Linked DNA regions of Caenorhabditis elegans. The protein of the gene in region 2 purifies or fractionates together with the protein of the main gene of each other region. This does not show direct contact. Each region holds a gene or a part of one and is shown on either strand. Other genes may lie near its edges.

Region 1 (5,311 bases), on a different chromosome or scaffold from region 2:
TTTACGGCGCGTTGCGTGTCGCGTCGCGGCTCGATTTTAGTTGTAAAACTAAGAGCATTTATCCGGGTGGAGTATACACGACTTTGCCCGGCGGACGATTGTCAATAGAGCGCGAAAAATTCAATGAGGAAGGCCAGAACCCCGCGCAAAAATTGTCGAATATCCCCCCATCGAAAACAACACAGGGCGTGGCTTAGCTGTTTTGGTACCGCTCCACCGCTTCACGACCCGCCCATTTTAGAGTAAGTGTTCCCTCCCGTTGGCCCTCTTTTTGCCTTTTCTGACTCACTTACCACCGTGTATATAAGGTGTGCACGGTTTTTGATAAAATATGAGTCAGCGCATTGTCGATTTCTCCCCGTTTTTATTGATTTTTTTAATAGCGGTTCATTTTGTCGTGAGAATTAGTTCTTGTAAACCTTGGCACGGGCCTTCCTCATTGAAAATTTTGCGCTCCATTGGCAATCGCCCGCCGGACAATGCGTGGGAAAGTCGTGAATACATTCAGTTTTACAACTAAAATCGAGCCGCGACGCGCCATAAATCTACCCCAGATATGGCCGAGCCAAAATGGCCTAGTTCGGCAAACTCTTCCATTTCCATTTTTTCGAGTTCCAACATTGTCGGTTTCGATAATCTTCCTTCCTTCTCCACCGTCGTCCGTCGTCAATGCATTATTTCTAATGCCGCACCGACGCATTGCGCACACCACCAGTCGGTCGTCCACCACCACACTGACTGCAGCAGCCAGCCAGCAACTGAAACAGCAGTATTCAGGCATGGGCGCTCTGGCGGGAGAAATAGAGAAATTGAGCATCATCGAGAGAGAGAGGGAGTGCGACGAATGAAATTGCACACACACACGCGCACACTCTGCTTAAACGGGCATCATTTCATGTGCCTGGGCAATAGAAACAACCGATGTTTCATTTTTCCTGAAAAATGCTTCTTCGTTGTTTTTACCGACTTTCTGAGCCGCTTCGTTAGAAAACCTCGAAACCCCCCGAGATTTCCGCCAAATATTTGTCCAGCGTTCGTATAGATATTTGAGGAGGCTCGAGAGATCCAACAAATTGAGAAACGAAGGTGTAACGAGAAAAAAAACAGAGTCTGTTTGCTAAATCATGTGATTCATTGATTTTTCAACTCGTCAAATAGGTTTTCGCAACTATTTTTCCATATTCTCGTGATTTATCATTCTGTAAAAACATTTCTTAGGTCTCTTTTGATTGTTTATTCCCTTTTCCTGGTTTCCCATTATAGGTTAAAACCTGAAAACCCTTGCGCCGGGTCGGATTATGCTTTAGTTTTCACCGCCGCTCCGTTTCGCGCGCGCGCTTATATAATCCCCTTGTACAGCAGCCCTTTTTCGTATTAATGTTCCATATCGAAAATGCGCTCCGCTGAGAATTGGTCGGCTTTTTTTGTTGTTGACGCGGTGTCTGCTGATGTTCTTTCGGACGTATGATGAGATGAAGGAAGAACTAGTTTTTGTGTTCAGACTTCTTCATTGACGAACACGTCTCCGTTCTTTTCTTGTTGCGGTGGTGGTGGTGGTCGTCGCAGATGAATAAGACGTTGGCCGTTTTCGCTACACCCCCCCCCCCCCCCCTCCCCATCCCCCAATTTCAACTTCTCGTTTTGCGTGCAAAACAAGAGGAAATTGAAGTATTGTGGGGATAATTCGATAACCAGAACACGCACACACACTGACCCCTATCTTCTCTCTTTTTTGTTGTTTCATTTCTTTTCCTTCCGCAAGACGTCTCGGCCATCAGAGTTTTCCGATTATTATGTGTAATGGAATATCCGCAGGGGATCTTTGATCTACCCACTGGAAATTTGTTTTTTTTTGGTGGATTTTTGACAGAAATCACGCGCTCTCCTCAAAGCCGAATAATTTTCTACGTTTCGCATTTCTGCATCCGCGGTGTTTTGCCTTTCCACACGTTGTGTCAGAGTGTCTCATTCCGGCTTGATCTACAAAGATCTACAAAAAATGCGGGAGAAGAGACAACAGAGTTCTCAACTGATTTTGCATTGTTAAGAACGTGCTGACATCACATTTATTGGGCAAAATTCCCGCATTTTTTGTAGATCAAACCGTAATGGGACAGCCCAGCCTGGCACCACGTGTTTCCACTGAAAGTAGATGTTTTTTTTTCAGCATTTCACGGACAAACCTATTGCTAGACAGTGAACATCGAAATTAAAATGACTAAAATGAACTTTTTTCGTCTACTGGTTGTGAAAAGGTTTGAAATTGAAAAAATCAACGAGATTTTTCTTATTTTCTAAATATTTTCCTATTAAAAATTGATTTTAATCCATTTGTGACCTTACTTTAGAGTCAAAAGTGGTTTAAAACCGATTTTCGATAGAAAAATAGATTCAGAAAATAACAAAAAAAAATATCCCGCTGATTTTTTCAACTTTTTCTCAACCAGTGGACGAAAAAAGTTGATTTTCGTCATTTTGGTTTGTTCCTAAGATTCAATAAATCTGATTTTTTCAGTGGACAGGCAAAAACATCGCGGATGCAGAAACGCAAAGCGCGTAGCAAGCGCGCTCTAATAATAATTCGGCTTTGAGGAGAGTGAAATCGCTAAATATTTCCAATTCGACAAAATCAACCTTTGATTTCGTCTCCTTCTCTCTTCATTTCGAAATATAAAATTTGTACCTATCGTTGGCTTATCAGTCAGTAAATTCTCTCTAGTTCTTCTCTATTTTCTCTCTTTTCTCTCTTTTTTCGATTATTCTCTCCGATTTTTTCTCTCTCGTCACCGTTTCACCCACCGGTATTCATCATTGTTTACGTCGTTCCGCTCGCTTTCAAACAATTTATATTGATTTTAATTAATTAATTAATTATCCTTTTTCATTTTTCAGGGTTTTCTAACAACACCCCCTGCACAGCGAAAGCAAGATGGCCGATCAACTGACCGAGGAGCAAATTGCCGGTACTTTTTTAAATTCTGATTGATGGACGGAGGACCGGGAGATTGAAGAAATCTAATCCTCTCTCATTTCGAAGCGAATTGAGCAGAAACCAAGCGGCGCGGCGTAGAAATTTAAATTTAATGGATGAAACATTAGCCGTAGCAGCAGATGTATAGCGCCACTATTTTTGTGTGTTTTATTCCAGATGTTGGCTGGTTCTCGCGGCGAAAAATCTATCAACAATTGTATAAAAAACTACAAAATTCGAGAAAAAACCAAATCAATTTTGCCAAATTTTCAGAGTTCAAGGAGGCATTCAGTTTGTTCGACAAGGACGGCGATGGCACAATCACCACCAAGGAATTGGGAACTGTTATGCGGTCTTTGGGACAAAATCCGACTGAAGCCGAGCTTCAGGACATGATCAACGAAGTGGACGCTGACGGAAACGGAACCATCGATTTCCCAGAGTTCTTGACGATGATGGCCCGCAAGATGAAGGACACGGACAGTGAGGAGGAGATTCGTGAGGCGTTCCGAGTAAGAGATTTGTGGAAATTTATAAATTCATTTTTGATTCACTATAGAGAAGCCTCATGTAGTATAGAAAATCTCATTCAAATCTTCCTATTTGCAGGTTTTCGACAAGGACGGAAATGGCTTCATCTCGGCCGCTGAACTGCGCCACGTCATGACCAACTTGGGAGAGAAGCTAACGGACGAAGAGGTCGACGAGATGATCCGTGAAGCCGATATCGACGGAGATGGACAAGTCAATTATGAGGGTGAGTCCTTACAAGACCTTTTTTTTTCGAAATTTCATCAAATTTCCCATATTTCAGAGTTCGTCACCATGATGACAACCAAGTAAATCACACCAATCGGGATCTGAAGCCGCCGTATCGTTTGCGAATCACCAACACCTTTTCTCTCACCTTTCGTTTTTTTATTCTTCCCCGCTTGAAAATTGTGATTTCGCTCTCGAGCCCCAAAAAAAAATTGCCAAGCCCAGTCAAAAAATGCTATAAATGATGTAATTTATGTTCAAATTTAAGTTTTTTTGCCTCTTTTTTGACAGACGTGCTCTCAACCTAATTTTGTTTTTTTCTTAGAATGTGAAACTCATTTATAAGTCATTTTTTTCTTATTTCCTCTTTACAATGATTGAGTTTCTTCTTCTCCTGCCCCTGCCCCCAAATTAAAAAGTCCCGGATCCTCCAGTTCTTGGTCGCCTGCCCCGGCTTGACCCTTCCTCAAAATAATGCCTCCAACCTGTAAAACCCCATAAAAAAATTTAAAAAACTTAAAAAAAACCGCTGGCTTCTTCTTTTCCCACTTGGTATTTTTCTCATATTTTCTCTTCTTCCAAATTGTTCTTCCCAAAAAATGTATTCCAAACTCGAAAATCTTTCTTTCCTCTCTCTTTCCCCCTCAACCATTTATAGAAAGTGTAGAAAATTCCCTCTTTTCGCACCACACACACACCGTCACACGGGCCATTTTAAAATTGTACCTGAAATATTTTCTGTTGCTTTGAATTTCGATTTCGACAAGCAACGGCAAAAAATTTTGGCGCCTAGTGAACACTTTTTGCACCATTGCTTTCTTTTTTTTTGTTTTGGATTTTTTCTTTGAAAATTCCTATTTTATATTATTGTAAAAGTCAAAGTCTCCAAAATCCTTTAATAATTTAATTCCATTCTTCCCAACCAACCCACCACCACCACCGTCTCTATAATCTCTGAACAATTCAAATTTTTATCTCTGATTATCTCGCTTCTCTCGTCCCTTGATGCGAACTTATTCAACAAAAAAAAAAGAAAATCTTCAAATGAAACTTGATTTTTTTTGAATGCTTTGGGGTTTTTCAATCAAAAAGTCAATTTAAAAATTAAAAAGAACAATTTTATTTTTTTGAAAAAAAACTTCTCACATCATCGAAATAGGTGCTCCGACGGTGGACATTTGAAGTTGATCGGCTTGCTGCTGATTATCGACGACAAAGACGGAAAGGTTCACATTTTTTTGCCGGAAAAAATCGATTATAATGAAGCCGAGTTGTCGTCTGAAAATTGAAAAAGTTGAAAAGCGGCAGGCTCCACCCCCAAACGTTGGGTCTCGTTAGGTATTGACGGCAAACATGATGATTCAATATTAAAGGACCACAAAACACTGCTACTGCGTATCGCACAACATATTTGACGCGCAGAATATCTCGCAGCGAAGTCTACAGTAACCCCTTAAATTACTACTGTTACTACTGTTACTACTGTGTCGATTTACGGGCTCGATTTTCGAAATGAATTTATTTTCGAATAGTAGTGACAGTTTTTTTTGCATTATTTGATAAATTTCAATATTTTAGCAA
Region 2 (6,183 bases):
TACTTTTTTTGTGTCGCATTTGCCCGAAATTAACTTTTTAAGTTATCATTCTTTACTGCATATTTTGGCAGTTTATCTCATTTAATTTCGTTGATTAAGGGACATTTAAAGCCAATAGGTAACCAAAAATCATCGAAATTAGTTTCCTATTGGCTTTAAATGTACCTTCTTCAACAAAATAACGGGAGATAAACTACCAAAATATGCAATAAATGACAATAATGCAAAAATGTCAACTTCAGACCGCTAAACTAATTTTTAAAAGGTATTCATCAATGTTATTAGAAAATTCAGTTTTTATATTGTAAATGATATGTTTGATATGTATTAGTTGACCGCATTATACATTTTTTGGTCCAAATTATCATTTTGTTAAAATTTGGTATCAGAAAAAATAAAATCTCAACGTCCGTCTTTAATAATCTAAAAACTTCTCATTACATTTTTAATATATTGATTTTTATTTTCAGAATGACAAAGGTTTTGACAAAAAGATCTTCGAAAAGCAAATGTCTGTGATGCGTGGACAAATTTTCAATTTGCGAGAAGCATTGATGAAGAAAAAGAGCCCTTACCAGCTCATTCAGGTACACATTCTGATTTTTTTTTTCAAAATATCAAATTTCAAATTTCTAGATGCCACCTCAATTGATGGTTGAAGTCAAGCAAAAGAAGAAGAAGTCAAGACGATCACGTAACGCTGATTACGAAGAGGCGCCGAATTATGATTGTATGGGTGTCGTTTAATTAATATATATTTTATTAGCGGAAAAATATTTGTGCTGTTTGTTTTTTTTTTTTTGGAGAAACTTTATTCACAATGAATAGGCCAATCAATTTTGCAGCGGACGCTTCAACCGTGGTAAACACATCTGGCAACGTTGATGTTGAGCAGCCCGGTCCTTCCACGTCGGCTGCCGCTGCAGCTACTGCTGGCCCATCAACTTCGGACGCCGGAGCAGCATCATCGACTGGTGGCTCCAAATCGTGGCAGGAAACATATGAGCAAAAAGTGCAAACGAAAGCCCCGTTCTTCCGTTGGTGGTGATTCACGATTTCAATTTTAAACATTTTTTTTCCACGTCTATCATTTCTTTCCCCGCTAAACATTTTTCCCCTTCCTCGAGTCAAGTTGCTCTTCTCTTGACAAGTAGTTGATCTTCCATCGATTCGAACTCGGTTATATCTTAAACTAACCAATATTGTGTGTTGTATTTTTGTATTTTTCTAGCTTTATTCGTTTTCCATCATTTCTAAATTCCTATTCCAATTCTACCTGATTTGTGAAATTCCCCCCAATCATTTTCTCACAAGGTTCGTATTTTTGTCAGTTGTGTTGTGTTCGTGGTCCCCTCTTCCCGTTTGACATATATTTGTGAATGAATAACTTTTCTACAAATTTCTTTATTTATTTGTATCGTTCCATTATAACAATATCTGTTCGAACTATTCACCTTTATCTTTTATGTGTATTCGGTTCTTTTTGTTTTCGTTCCTCCTAACTGGGTAAGTGGGCCGCGCGCACGAGTGAAAAGATGTGATGTCCCTTTCCCCCGCGGTCCGGGGTGATAATCAGAGGCGCGTACAGGCCGATTTAGTTCTATGTAAGATATGGTTAAACAGATAAGTTGTATGATGGTTGAGGTAAGAAATGATTTGGGGTCACCGGCCGGCACGCCGCATTTCTAGGGTCGACACCACAGGCAAAAGACGAGATCTTTTTTGATGACGTGTTCCAGGCGGAGACGACAGCTGTGAAACAGAAGAAGATTCTCGAACGGTCCACACAACTGCTGCACGACGGCTCATCTATTTAAACCCTGCAGACGTGTGTCGCGCCGCTGACCGATTGACCAGACGTCTTTCCATTGACTTTCATTTGTTTATTCAAAGTAAGAATTCTATATAAACTAACTAGCCTCGGATTGTTTATTCTACTGTGAATCTTTAAGCAACCTTCACGGCAATGGGAGGCTTCTAGTTTGAGGTTTTCTTAACACTAGACATAGTATTTATGTGTACTGATAAGTTCTAGATCCCTGTTACGAATTTCATGTAGAACGTTCTACGTTTGAGGTTTTTGAAACTTGTATGAGTTCTCTCAATTCTCACTGAACAAAATTTCGAGAAAAGAAATTTGAAGAACATCTAGGAGAAGAACTACAAACTCATCCCAACAAGTGACTCGAGATTTGTACACGTGGCTCTCTTTTTCTTTCTGTGGACGAATGTGTGTGTGTGTGTGTCTCGGGGTTGTTCTACTCCCGCCGCAGTCTTTCTCTCTTTACCAGGCCATTGTCTGCCGCCTCCGCCCTCCCGCATAGTCTCTCCAATGTTTTAACTTAACCTCTGACTGCGTCTCCCGGTACACTGTACTCTCTGCTCTGAGAAATCGGCAGCCCCGGCAGGCACTGACCCCCATTTTGTGATGACCATCTCTCTCTCTCTCTCTTACAAGAGGGTTTCTTTTCCTCGCTCACTTCTTGCTAAAACTGTAGTATCCTGAACTGCATAGGTAGCCGAGAAGAAGTCACCGAATTTTCTCTTGATTCGCTTCGTTTGCAGCGTTCTCTTGATCATTTTTATTTCCATGAAGAAATCAAGAAATAACATTTATTTATATCTTATGCTACGTGTACTAATCTTTAGAACGAAACCCCTCCTCTTGAAACATTTAAACCCTGTGAAATCATAAGAGTAGCCTCTGGCTAACGTATAGGCATCGAATTTGTTTGCGTGAGCAGCAATATGAGGTATTGAGAAACTGTCAACACTGGCGGGTGAGATTGACAGTTCGCAAGCAGGCCAACTCACTCCTTCCAATCGGGCGTCTGTCCGTAGTTTTGGGCTGTCTTCCATCTTTCTGCCTTCAGACAATCGCTAGACGGTGCATAAAAAGTGTTCCCGATTGCTTGACCTATTTATGTATATCCTTTTAAAGAGCCGTCAGTATTCCCCACTTCACATCGTAATTGTTAATTAGTACACACTTATCCTATGTTTTGTATTCTCAATTGTTTTTGTTTCAAAAATGATTTATTTTTAATTTCAGGTAGTAGGATCTGGACATGAAGGTTCTTCTCTTCGTTGGTCTCCTCGCAGCCACCGCGCTTGCTTCCCATCACTCATCCGATCCATCGAAAGATGGTGAACATTTCAAGGTAATTTGCAGTTTTACGCATAATCTTTTACAAATATCTGTTCTGTTATTTTTAGGGAAAGGAACATGACAAGAAGTACGATCACGAGCAGTTCCTCGGAAAAGACACCGCTGCTGAATTTGATGAATTAACACCAGAAAAGTCAAAGGAGAAGCTTGCGTATGTTCTTTTAAAGTCTCATGACCTTCAAATCAACGTCTATTATTTTCAGCAAGCTCGTTCCAAAGATGGATGCTGACAGCGATGGCTTCATCGAGGAGAACGAGCTCAAGGATCACATCAACTTCATGCAAAAGAGATACGTCAACAACGACGTGGACCGTACCTGGAAGAACTACAAGGCCGAGAAGATTGTCGACGGAAAGATCAAGTGGGAAGACTACAGAGAGATGGTCTACGGATCTGCTGACGGAGCTGGCCAGGAGCTTTCTCCAGAATACGCTAAAATGATCGCACGTGACGAGAAGAGATGGGCTGTTGCCGACTACGACTCAAACGGAGCCCTCGACAGAACCGAATACGGTTGCTTCATGCATCCAGAAGACTGTGATCACATGAGAGACGTTGTCGTCGCCGAGACTGTCGATGATATTGATAAGAACAAGGACGGATCTGTGGATCTTGATGAGTACATTGGAGATATGTATAGACCAGATGATTACCCAGAGTTGAATGGAAAAGAACCAGACTGGGTTCAATCTGAGCGCGAAATGTTCAAGGAGCACAGAGACAAGGACGGAGATGGAAAACTCAATCAGGTATAATAATGTCTATAATATGATGTCTAATTAATAATGATTATATTTCAGGAGGAGATGCGCGATTGGATTATGCCAGTTGGATTCGACCACGCCGAGGCTGAGGCTCGTCACTTGGTTGGAATCGCCGATGACAACAAAGACGGAAAACTGAATCTCGATGAAATCGTCGCCCACTACGACACATTCGTCGGATCCCAGGCCACCGACTACGGAGAGCAACTCCAGAAACACGACCCAGCCGAGCTCTAAAATTTTTGTTTTTCTCCAAACAGTATTACGCGAAAATTCTCATTTGAGATCTGTTAGTAATAATAATGTGTGACTGGTCTTCGAAACTCATTCTTACTTAACAAAAAATGTTCACTGTTCTTATTTATCTCATTATTGTTTGCCTTTTTCAATGTCATAAGTATATAATTTTCAAGCGCATGCATTTTTGAATTTTTCGGATTTTTCGAATTTTACTGGTTTTAATAATTATCAACAAATAAAAGTTTATGCATTCAAAAATCCAATTCCTTACAGAACAACGGAAGGTTAATGAAATAATTTAGTGTGTCAAATGTGTACGACTTCGCCATGTCTTCGCACAGCGGACGTGGCGACGATCATGACGGTGTTGACCCCTTGATGATTTTCCTTTCATAGTCGCATCTCTGTCTCTCTTTCCGCAGGGAAATCTTCAAATCGGTTCTGTCCTAATTTTTCTTCGCCATAGTAATGCATAGCCCATTCATCCAAGTGTTATTCTTGTTTCTGATTATTGATCGATTAGCTTTAGCGTTCGATGTTCCGTGTGCACGTGAGTCAATTTGAATGTTTTATATCGTAGTTGTATGAAACATTGAGCTAATACATGTATACTGGTTCTTGGAATTGAAAATTTTTCTTATTATATATTTGAATAATGCCTATAATTTGTGAAAATTTCAGAAAAATTCTAACTTTATTACAATTAAATAACGAAATAATAAAGTTTTGAAATCCTAAAATCGCTTATTTTCAGAATTTCTATTTAATATTTCCAAATTGTATCATGGCTTATTTTTGTTTGAAGGCAGTGTATGTAGTTTTTGAAAAGTACTCTTGAACTGTAAAAACAACTTGCAAATTTTTAAGGTCATTTGACATAACAATGGTTACATGTTGTTCTATTGATTTAGTGAATTCGTTGAAAAATTCAAAATTGGCTTCAAATAAATTGAAATTCAAGCCAATCAGCTAGTTTACCAGACTAAAAGAAAACTCTAAATTGCACTGAAATGATGGAAATGAAAAATCTTCAGGAAGTGTCTGAAAATGTCTTTTTTTTTTGTTTAGTTTAGAGCTGTTTTTTTTTAACCTAGAAATTAATAATTTAACAATGCAATTAGGCTCGAAAACATGAATCAAAAGCTTTCGAATATTCAAAAAAAAACATCAGTCGTTAAAAAGCCGCTCCTTCAGTTGTACAATGCCCAAATGTCATAGTAAAACTTTCCAAAAATGTTTTGATTTTTTCAAAATTACATTTAAATTATTTTCCTACGAGTTTTATATTCTTACCCAGGATATTCAATCTGTAGCAATTCTTAAATTTACTCAAAAAGTTCACATTTTTGGAAACTTTGATCAAAAATTTTGAACAATTCAAAATCTTTTAGAAGTTTTTTATCATGATATTTGGCCATGCTAGATTATACTACGTAACCTTTAATATGATTGAACTATCATAATTTATAGATAGGAAAGCAGTTTTCTCAGTCCCCCACACTTCAACAAAAATATGTTTATTTTTTTCAGAAAAGCTTATTGGAAGTGACTGCCTATTTGATGAAGAATGCTATGGAATGAACTCAGTGTGCAGAAACTCCCGATGTACCTGCCCCACAAACTTTGAAGAATACGACATCGATGAACGAACGACAATTTGCCGATTAGGTGACATCATAATTTTCCTCGTTTTTTTTTGTCTCTTTGGTTTTAGACTTCTTACAGTTCTCAAATGATTCACCGAACCGAACCGGTCTTTTGCCTCTTGTTGTATAAATTAGCTTTTGCTTTCAGCACCCGCCAAAATCGGAGATTCCTGTCAACGCGATTGCAAGCCTCCCTTATTGTGCAGAGATGGTAAATGCGAGTGCTGGGGTGGTAGTATTGTTGACGGAAAATGCGTTGTTCGTAAGTGAAGCTGATGTCTAAAGATTTGTGAAGGATGAGTGGATTTTCAGTGTGTCCAGTTGGTCAGCAGCTTTATGGCGTCGAATGCACTCGTGTTGCCC
Region 3 (5,595 bases), on a different chromosome or scaffold from region 2:
GAAACCGTCCCAAAAATAAATATTAATCGAATTTGATTTAAAAACTTTGATGCAGGTTTTATTGATTGGCATTCTCTTTTAAAAATATTTTTCTGCTGTTATAACTGTTAGCTTTTCAGTGACAAAAAACATAGCTTAATCCCATTAATTTTGCAAAAGTCTGATCTGTTTGATGAACTCAGATTTGCGAGCATTGTCTCCTCCATTCAACAGTCGCCGACGCCTCGTAATTGTGTAGCGGCGTGAGCGATTCTCTCGAAATTATGATAAGCAAACAAGGGTGAACATGCAAAAGCCGCTTCTTCTCTTTTCTTTATATTCTTTCCGTTCTTGGCCACATTGCGCGTCCTTTTTCTGTTTTACTCTCTAGCCTTCCGAATGAGAGTACACCACGGTTTTTTGCTTACTTTTTTGATTACTGGCTCTTGCTCAAATTGTTTGTGGGCATTTTCGCCTCCTTTTCACATCGTTTAGTCATTTTTCTTCCTCAATTGTCGTTGATAACACTTTTTGTTTTGGGAGGTTCCCATTGTTACAAATGTTTTTTTTTTGAAAACAAATTTGTTTCTGGAATTCTATTATGTAATTCTACATCGAATGTTTGCCAGTCGATGATATAATCAGTTTACTACGTTTACGTGTGTAACATTCTAATGGTCTGACTGTAACGATTGTCAACGAAATGATAGTGAGCAAAAATTGAAATATTCAGGTCAGATAGTATTGGTATATTTGGTAGTTAGGGATCAGACAGAATTTTTTGTGGAATTCAAGTTTGAATTTTTTAAATTCCCATTTTTATGAATAAAATGAATGAAATTGATCGATCTAATGCACAGATGTGAAATGACTACTGTATTTTACCATTATTTGAAAACGTTTGAATTATGTTTCCAAAACGCTATTCTCACTTCAAAGACTGAATTTTCTGCCATAATTCAAGAACTAGACCAATAAGTAATATTTTGCCTAGGTTGATCCTTAAAGAGTAAACATGAAATTTTTTATAATGTTTCAAAAATAAATAAATGATGGTCATCACTTGAAGTTTTTGTTTTGGAAGTATGTTCACACTGTTCAAAACGACCTTACCCGAATCGCCTGTCAGAGTATTTTTTTTGGAAAATAGGAGTACGAGTGGTGTTTTTCAATGATAAAATATAAGCTTCTCGGTAATCATTTTCATAGACGCTTACGTTGCAACTTTTCCGAAAACTGACCATTACCCTATTCCACAAGTTTTTCTTTCATTTCTTTCTTTTTACCGTCCTTTCTGTTCATCTCCAGTCCCGACCTTTTATTTCAAATGGATAGATTCAAAAACGCACGTTTACTTTGCACTTTTTGATTGTTCTTTTGCAATACTACAGTAAATCGTGTGAGCAACCTTTTATGGCAACCAACACCGCTTTTGCAAACGAGTGGACGTGAGAGCCAGATAATCACCATATCTCTTTTTGTGTGTGTGTATTGATGCCGACTTTCCTTCAAAAAAGTCAAAAGACATGTTGTCGGAGAGTTACAAAAGAGCAACTCGTCATTCCTGATGAGCACACTTCACGCGCCGAGCCAAGCTTTTCAGTCAGTGTTCAGCCGACTTGCCCCACGACCGATGCATGAGCCACTCTGTTCTTCGGAAAACAAAAGTGTCATGGTTGAACAAGGAGCCGCACACTTATTGTACAAGGCATAATTTGAACAAATAATTTCATGTGGCGGGTGGCGACTGTCTCAGCGGCGAGGAAGACCTCCCGGCTCTTTTGTATCGCAAACACGTTCAAATCAGAAAGAAAAGTTGAAGAGCAACGGGAAAGAAAGAGATATGTATGGAGTTGAAATGAGAGTAATGGGGAAAAATATCAATGTTATTCTCTATTCAAACTTTCATAGACTGTGGTGTTTGATCCTTTAGAGTTCTTCTTTTTGAAATTTCATATTCATTCAGATGAACGTATACAAAAATTATGGAAAAAGTCGTAAAAAAGTTTTTAGAATTATCTAAAACACAGAAAATATATTCAAAATATCACTTGAACATCGTTTTCGTAAAAACCATGTACAATAAACATAAAAAGCACTTCGCATGAAAATTTAATTTTTTGACCCTTTTTACTATTTCAAGTCAAGTCTAGACATTTGCAAGATGTCATACCCAACATTTTCTCGTAAGAAATCATTTCTTCAACCTACTTGACTTGGTAATTCAACCGTTTTTCACACATTTACCATCCTCATCTCTTCTATTCTTGTCCTTTTCTTTCGTTTTCTTTGCGCACGTATCGTAATCTCGTGTTATGCAAAATAGGGGTACTTGTTAATGCAGACGTTGTGGTTTCATACCTCTCTTGATCTTCTCATATTTCTCATATTTTGCAAATTGCCGTCGGCTATATTACTTTGATGTCCCAGACGATATCTCATGATTTTGTTTAGAAAAATCTATTTTTGATCGTAAATTTGTAAAAATAAAATGGTAGCCGATGGTAGATAATGGAAAAATGTTTACGTTGCTTGCTTTTTAACAACGGGGATATTGAAGGTTAGGAGTGAGAAATGTGTCATCAAGGATTCTTTTTGTAACTTTACTCTAGACTGTTGGAAGGGCAGAGGTTTTAAGAAAAAGAATATGACAAATAGAACTTGAAACGTAGGATGTGAAACATCTGATCGTAATAGTCCGAAATTCACAACTCAGCGGGTTCAGTTTCATATAAGATAAAATACAATATTGATTTTAAGGGCATCTTCTTCTTTTTTCCTAACTGTATCAAATTTTTATCAAACCTATTTGCTCAAATATTCTTCCTTTTCATGTTTGAAAGTTTTAAAAGTTTTCCGTTCGACCTCACTTTTTTCCTCCTTTTCTGTCCTTTGAAACTATCTTGCTCGTTCTCGCCTTTTCTCAATTTAAAAAATGCTCATCTGCCACATACCTCTTCTATGTTCTCTGTCTCTTCATCTCAAACATTGTCTCTACTTGACACTTTGCCTGACACCATCTCAATGTGTGTTGGCCGTGTGTATGAAAGAGGCGTGGTTTGAGTCTGTCTGGAGGAAACCATGTTGTCTTTTTCATTTTTCCGTGCCCTCTCTTCATTGTAAAATATTTATGAAGAAACATTATTTTAACTTCAGAATGAGGAAGCCACTGGTGGTATTGCTGTTGATACTGGTGACAACGGTGGAGAGTCGATTCGTGGACAAAATGGTCAATTCAGAAATTGGAGACACCTATTACAAACACGAATCGGATCCAATAGTAAGCTCTTTTCAAAAAATTTGCTTCAATGAGTGAAAACTAGTAATCTGAAGAAGAAATACATTGTCCGAAATTTAGAAGTGAACTAGCGAAGTCTCTGTTTTTTTTTATTTTATTTTATTGTTGCAGCCTTCTTATAGAAGGAATTTTCTAATTTTAAACAAATGTTATATTACTTATTTTCTAGATGATCGACGACAAAGATGACGCACCTCAATACGAAGTAAATTCGGAAGAAGTTCCAACTTTGCCACGTATGAATAGTCAGACCAAATGGGAAATGATTCGTGCCAGTGGACAAGATCCAACAGTCCGTCGTAGAAAAAACAAGCAGCATCGTCAGCAGAAAGTCGTCCTTGGACGTGAACGTCGTGACTTGATCCTTGCTCCATGGAGAATCACTCATGTTGTTCCGAAAAAGAAAGAAGCTGAAGTTCCAAAGAAAGCAATGGCTCTGTCATTTGATGTCTGTCCTGAAAAATTCGATGCAATTACAAAGGGAATCAATGGAAGAACCTATGTTTTTGCTCGCGAAAGGGTTTATCAAATTTGGTTTGAAGACGGACTTCCACAAAAAGCGTCTTACTTGATCAGTGAATTCTTTGCTGGAGGACCGAGAACTGTGACCGCCGCATTGACAAATTCTCGATCTGGAGTCACAATTCTCTTTGATGGACGAACTGCATACAGATTCCGTTGGAACAGAAAACATCGTAGATTCCAGCTGGCGAAAAATACCCCACAAGATCTTCCCCGAAACATCACAATCCATCCATTGTCAGCATTTGAATGGGCCGATGGAAATCAAGTTGTTCTCAGTGTGAGTTGATATCAATCTTAAGAAAACCTTCTTGTCATGGTTGAAATGATTTCAGGGTGAACACTTCATCATCTACGACGCATACTGGAACTTAGCCACATTCACAGGCCACACACGCAAGTATTTCCCAAATCTGCCAAGGGATCTACTGGGAATCGTGTACAACGGAGCTGGAGAAACACTTTTGATGTACACCAAGACAAACAAGTTAAAGGTATTCTTTCCGCAATATTAAAATCTTCGGCAGTCGGCCACTTTTTTCCGCTGGCGATATTCTCAATTAAACAGTACTTATATTTACGAAAATCGGCAGCCCCGTCAATTTCCGATAAGTTTAAATTTTCAGAGAACGCCAATTGCCGAAATTATCGGGAAAATTTATATCTTGAGTTCAGCATACGTATCAGCTTTTAGAGCATTCATAACTCTCTCGATAGCGACTCTATAGTAACAATTTTCAATAGGATTCCAACTTTGCTGTTGAAATATAAATCGATCTTTTATGTTAATTTTTCAGGTTTACAACACGAAGAAGTTCAAAGTAGTACAAGAATATCCGCTGAAACTGTCTGAATTTGTCGGATGTCAAACTAGATGATCTGCTCAATCTGTCTTCATGCCTTTCTATCAAATCTCTCCCATTTCCGATGATCTGATCCTTTCATTCGTTTCCTTCTCAATCTTAAGATCGATCGATTTTGCTTTTTTGCTTTATTTGTTTTTTTTTCTAATTTTGTTTCTTTGCTTACTCACTTTTTATGCCCAATTCAGTTCTGAGCCGGTGTCTTCGAATCAGAATTTCAACTTCCTGTTTCTAACCCAATTAAATCCTAACTCACATTTTAAGTTTTCTACTTATTCCCAACACCCACAGTCTTAAGTTATTTTCCCTTCCTTCACCGCCTTTTCTTAAAAACGTTTTACGTGTATTTTTGTTTTATCTTTTCATGACTTTTTATATTTCAAGTTGTCATTTTCTTCATTTTGCAACAAAAAATAAATCAAATCTTCGCAATAGTTCAGCGTCGTCGACGTCCTAACACAAATTCCATGACATTATCCAGAATGTTATCAGTCATACTTCCAACTCGTCCCATCAGACTATACGACGGCGGAGGATACATCATTGGTGGATAAGGAGGAGGTGGGTACTGGTAATTTGGCAGTGGATCAAATCCTATTGGCCGTTGATTAATTGGTCTGAAATATACTATTATTTCTCAATAACTGTGTCTGCATTACTTTATTAAAAGTGGAATGTAAACTGACAGTTTTCAACTTTTTATTAAAAACTCTGCAAAATAAGCAAAGGTGACTGAAAGGGGCCAAATTTCCATACCATGCACATATGGATTTACTCGGAAATCATTTGTTTTGTGTTTTTTCCTTAAGCGTGATTACATTTTTTCCTTAAGCGTGATTACATGTTTTTTTTCACGGAAAGAACACTTTCGACATAATTTGTCTAAATACATTCATATGCTGTAGAAATTCGGCTCAATCTACTTGTTTACGT

Evidence for each region. The genes of interacting proteins can lie anywhere in the genome.
Region 1: the proteins of calu-1 (region 2) and cmd-1 fractionate together in Caenorhabditis elegans (co-fractionation; one large-scale study listed by BioGRID). This does not show direct contact.
Region 3: the proteins of calu-1 (region 2) and K03B8.6 fractionate together in Caenorhabditis elegans (co-fractionation; one large-scale study listed by BioGRID). This does not show direct contact.

Annotation. Positions count from the first base shown.
Region 1 is NC_003283.11:1,153,379-1,158,689, forward strand, and holds cmd-1 (Calmodulin), read left to right. Parts: upstream 1-2,892; 5' UTR 2,893-2,929; coding exon 2,930-2,963; intron 2,964-3,244; coding exon 3,245-3,483; intron 3,484-3,580; coding exon 3,581-3,728; intron 3,729-3,785; coding exon 3,786-3,814; 3' UTR 3,815-4,811; downstream 4,812-5,311. Other genes in the region: T21H3.5 (Serpentine Receptor, class H), read right to left, coding at 4,873-5,008. UniProt on the Caenorhabditis elegans protein: Calmodulin mediates the control of a large number of enzymes, ion channels and other proteins by Ca(2+). Among the enzymes to be stimulated by the calmodulin-Ca(2+) complex are a number of protein kinases and phosphatases.
Region 2 is NC_003284.9:4,967,781-4,973,963, reverse strand, and holds calu-1 (Reticulocalbin-3), read left to right. Parts: upstream 1-3,052; 5' UTR 3,053-3,068; coding exon 3,069-3,161; intron 3,162-3,216; coding exon 3,217-3,320; coding exon of another isoform or gene 3,321-3,372; coding exon 3,373-3,919; intron 3,920-3,970; coding exon 3,971-4,171; 3' UTR 4,172-4,430; downstream 4,431-6,183. Other genes in the region: ZC8.6 (Phosphatidylinositol 4-kinase type 2), read left to right, coding at 471-587, 637-730, 846-1,048; M03F4.6 (EB domain-containing protein), read left to right, coding at 4,643-4,724, 5,705-5,842, 5,969-6,082, 6,133-6,183.
Region 3 is NC_003283.11:11,404,449-11,410,043, forward strand, and holds K03B8.6 (uncharacterized protein), read left to right. Parts: upstream 1-3,135; 5' UTR 3,136-3,136; coding exon 3,137-3,259; intron 3,260-3,446; coding exon 3,447-4,079; intron 4,080-4,134; coding exon 4,135-4,293; intron 4,294-4,596; coding exon 4,597-4,677; 3' UTR 4,678-5,095; downstream 5,096-5,595. Other genes in the region: K03B8.8 (Conserved secreted protein), read right to left, coding at 5,099-5,279.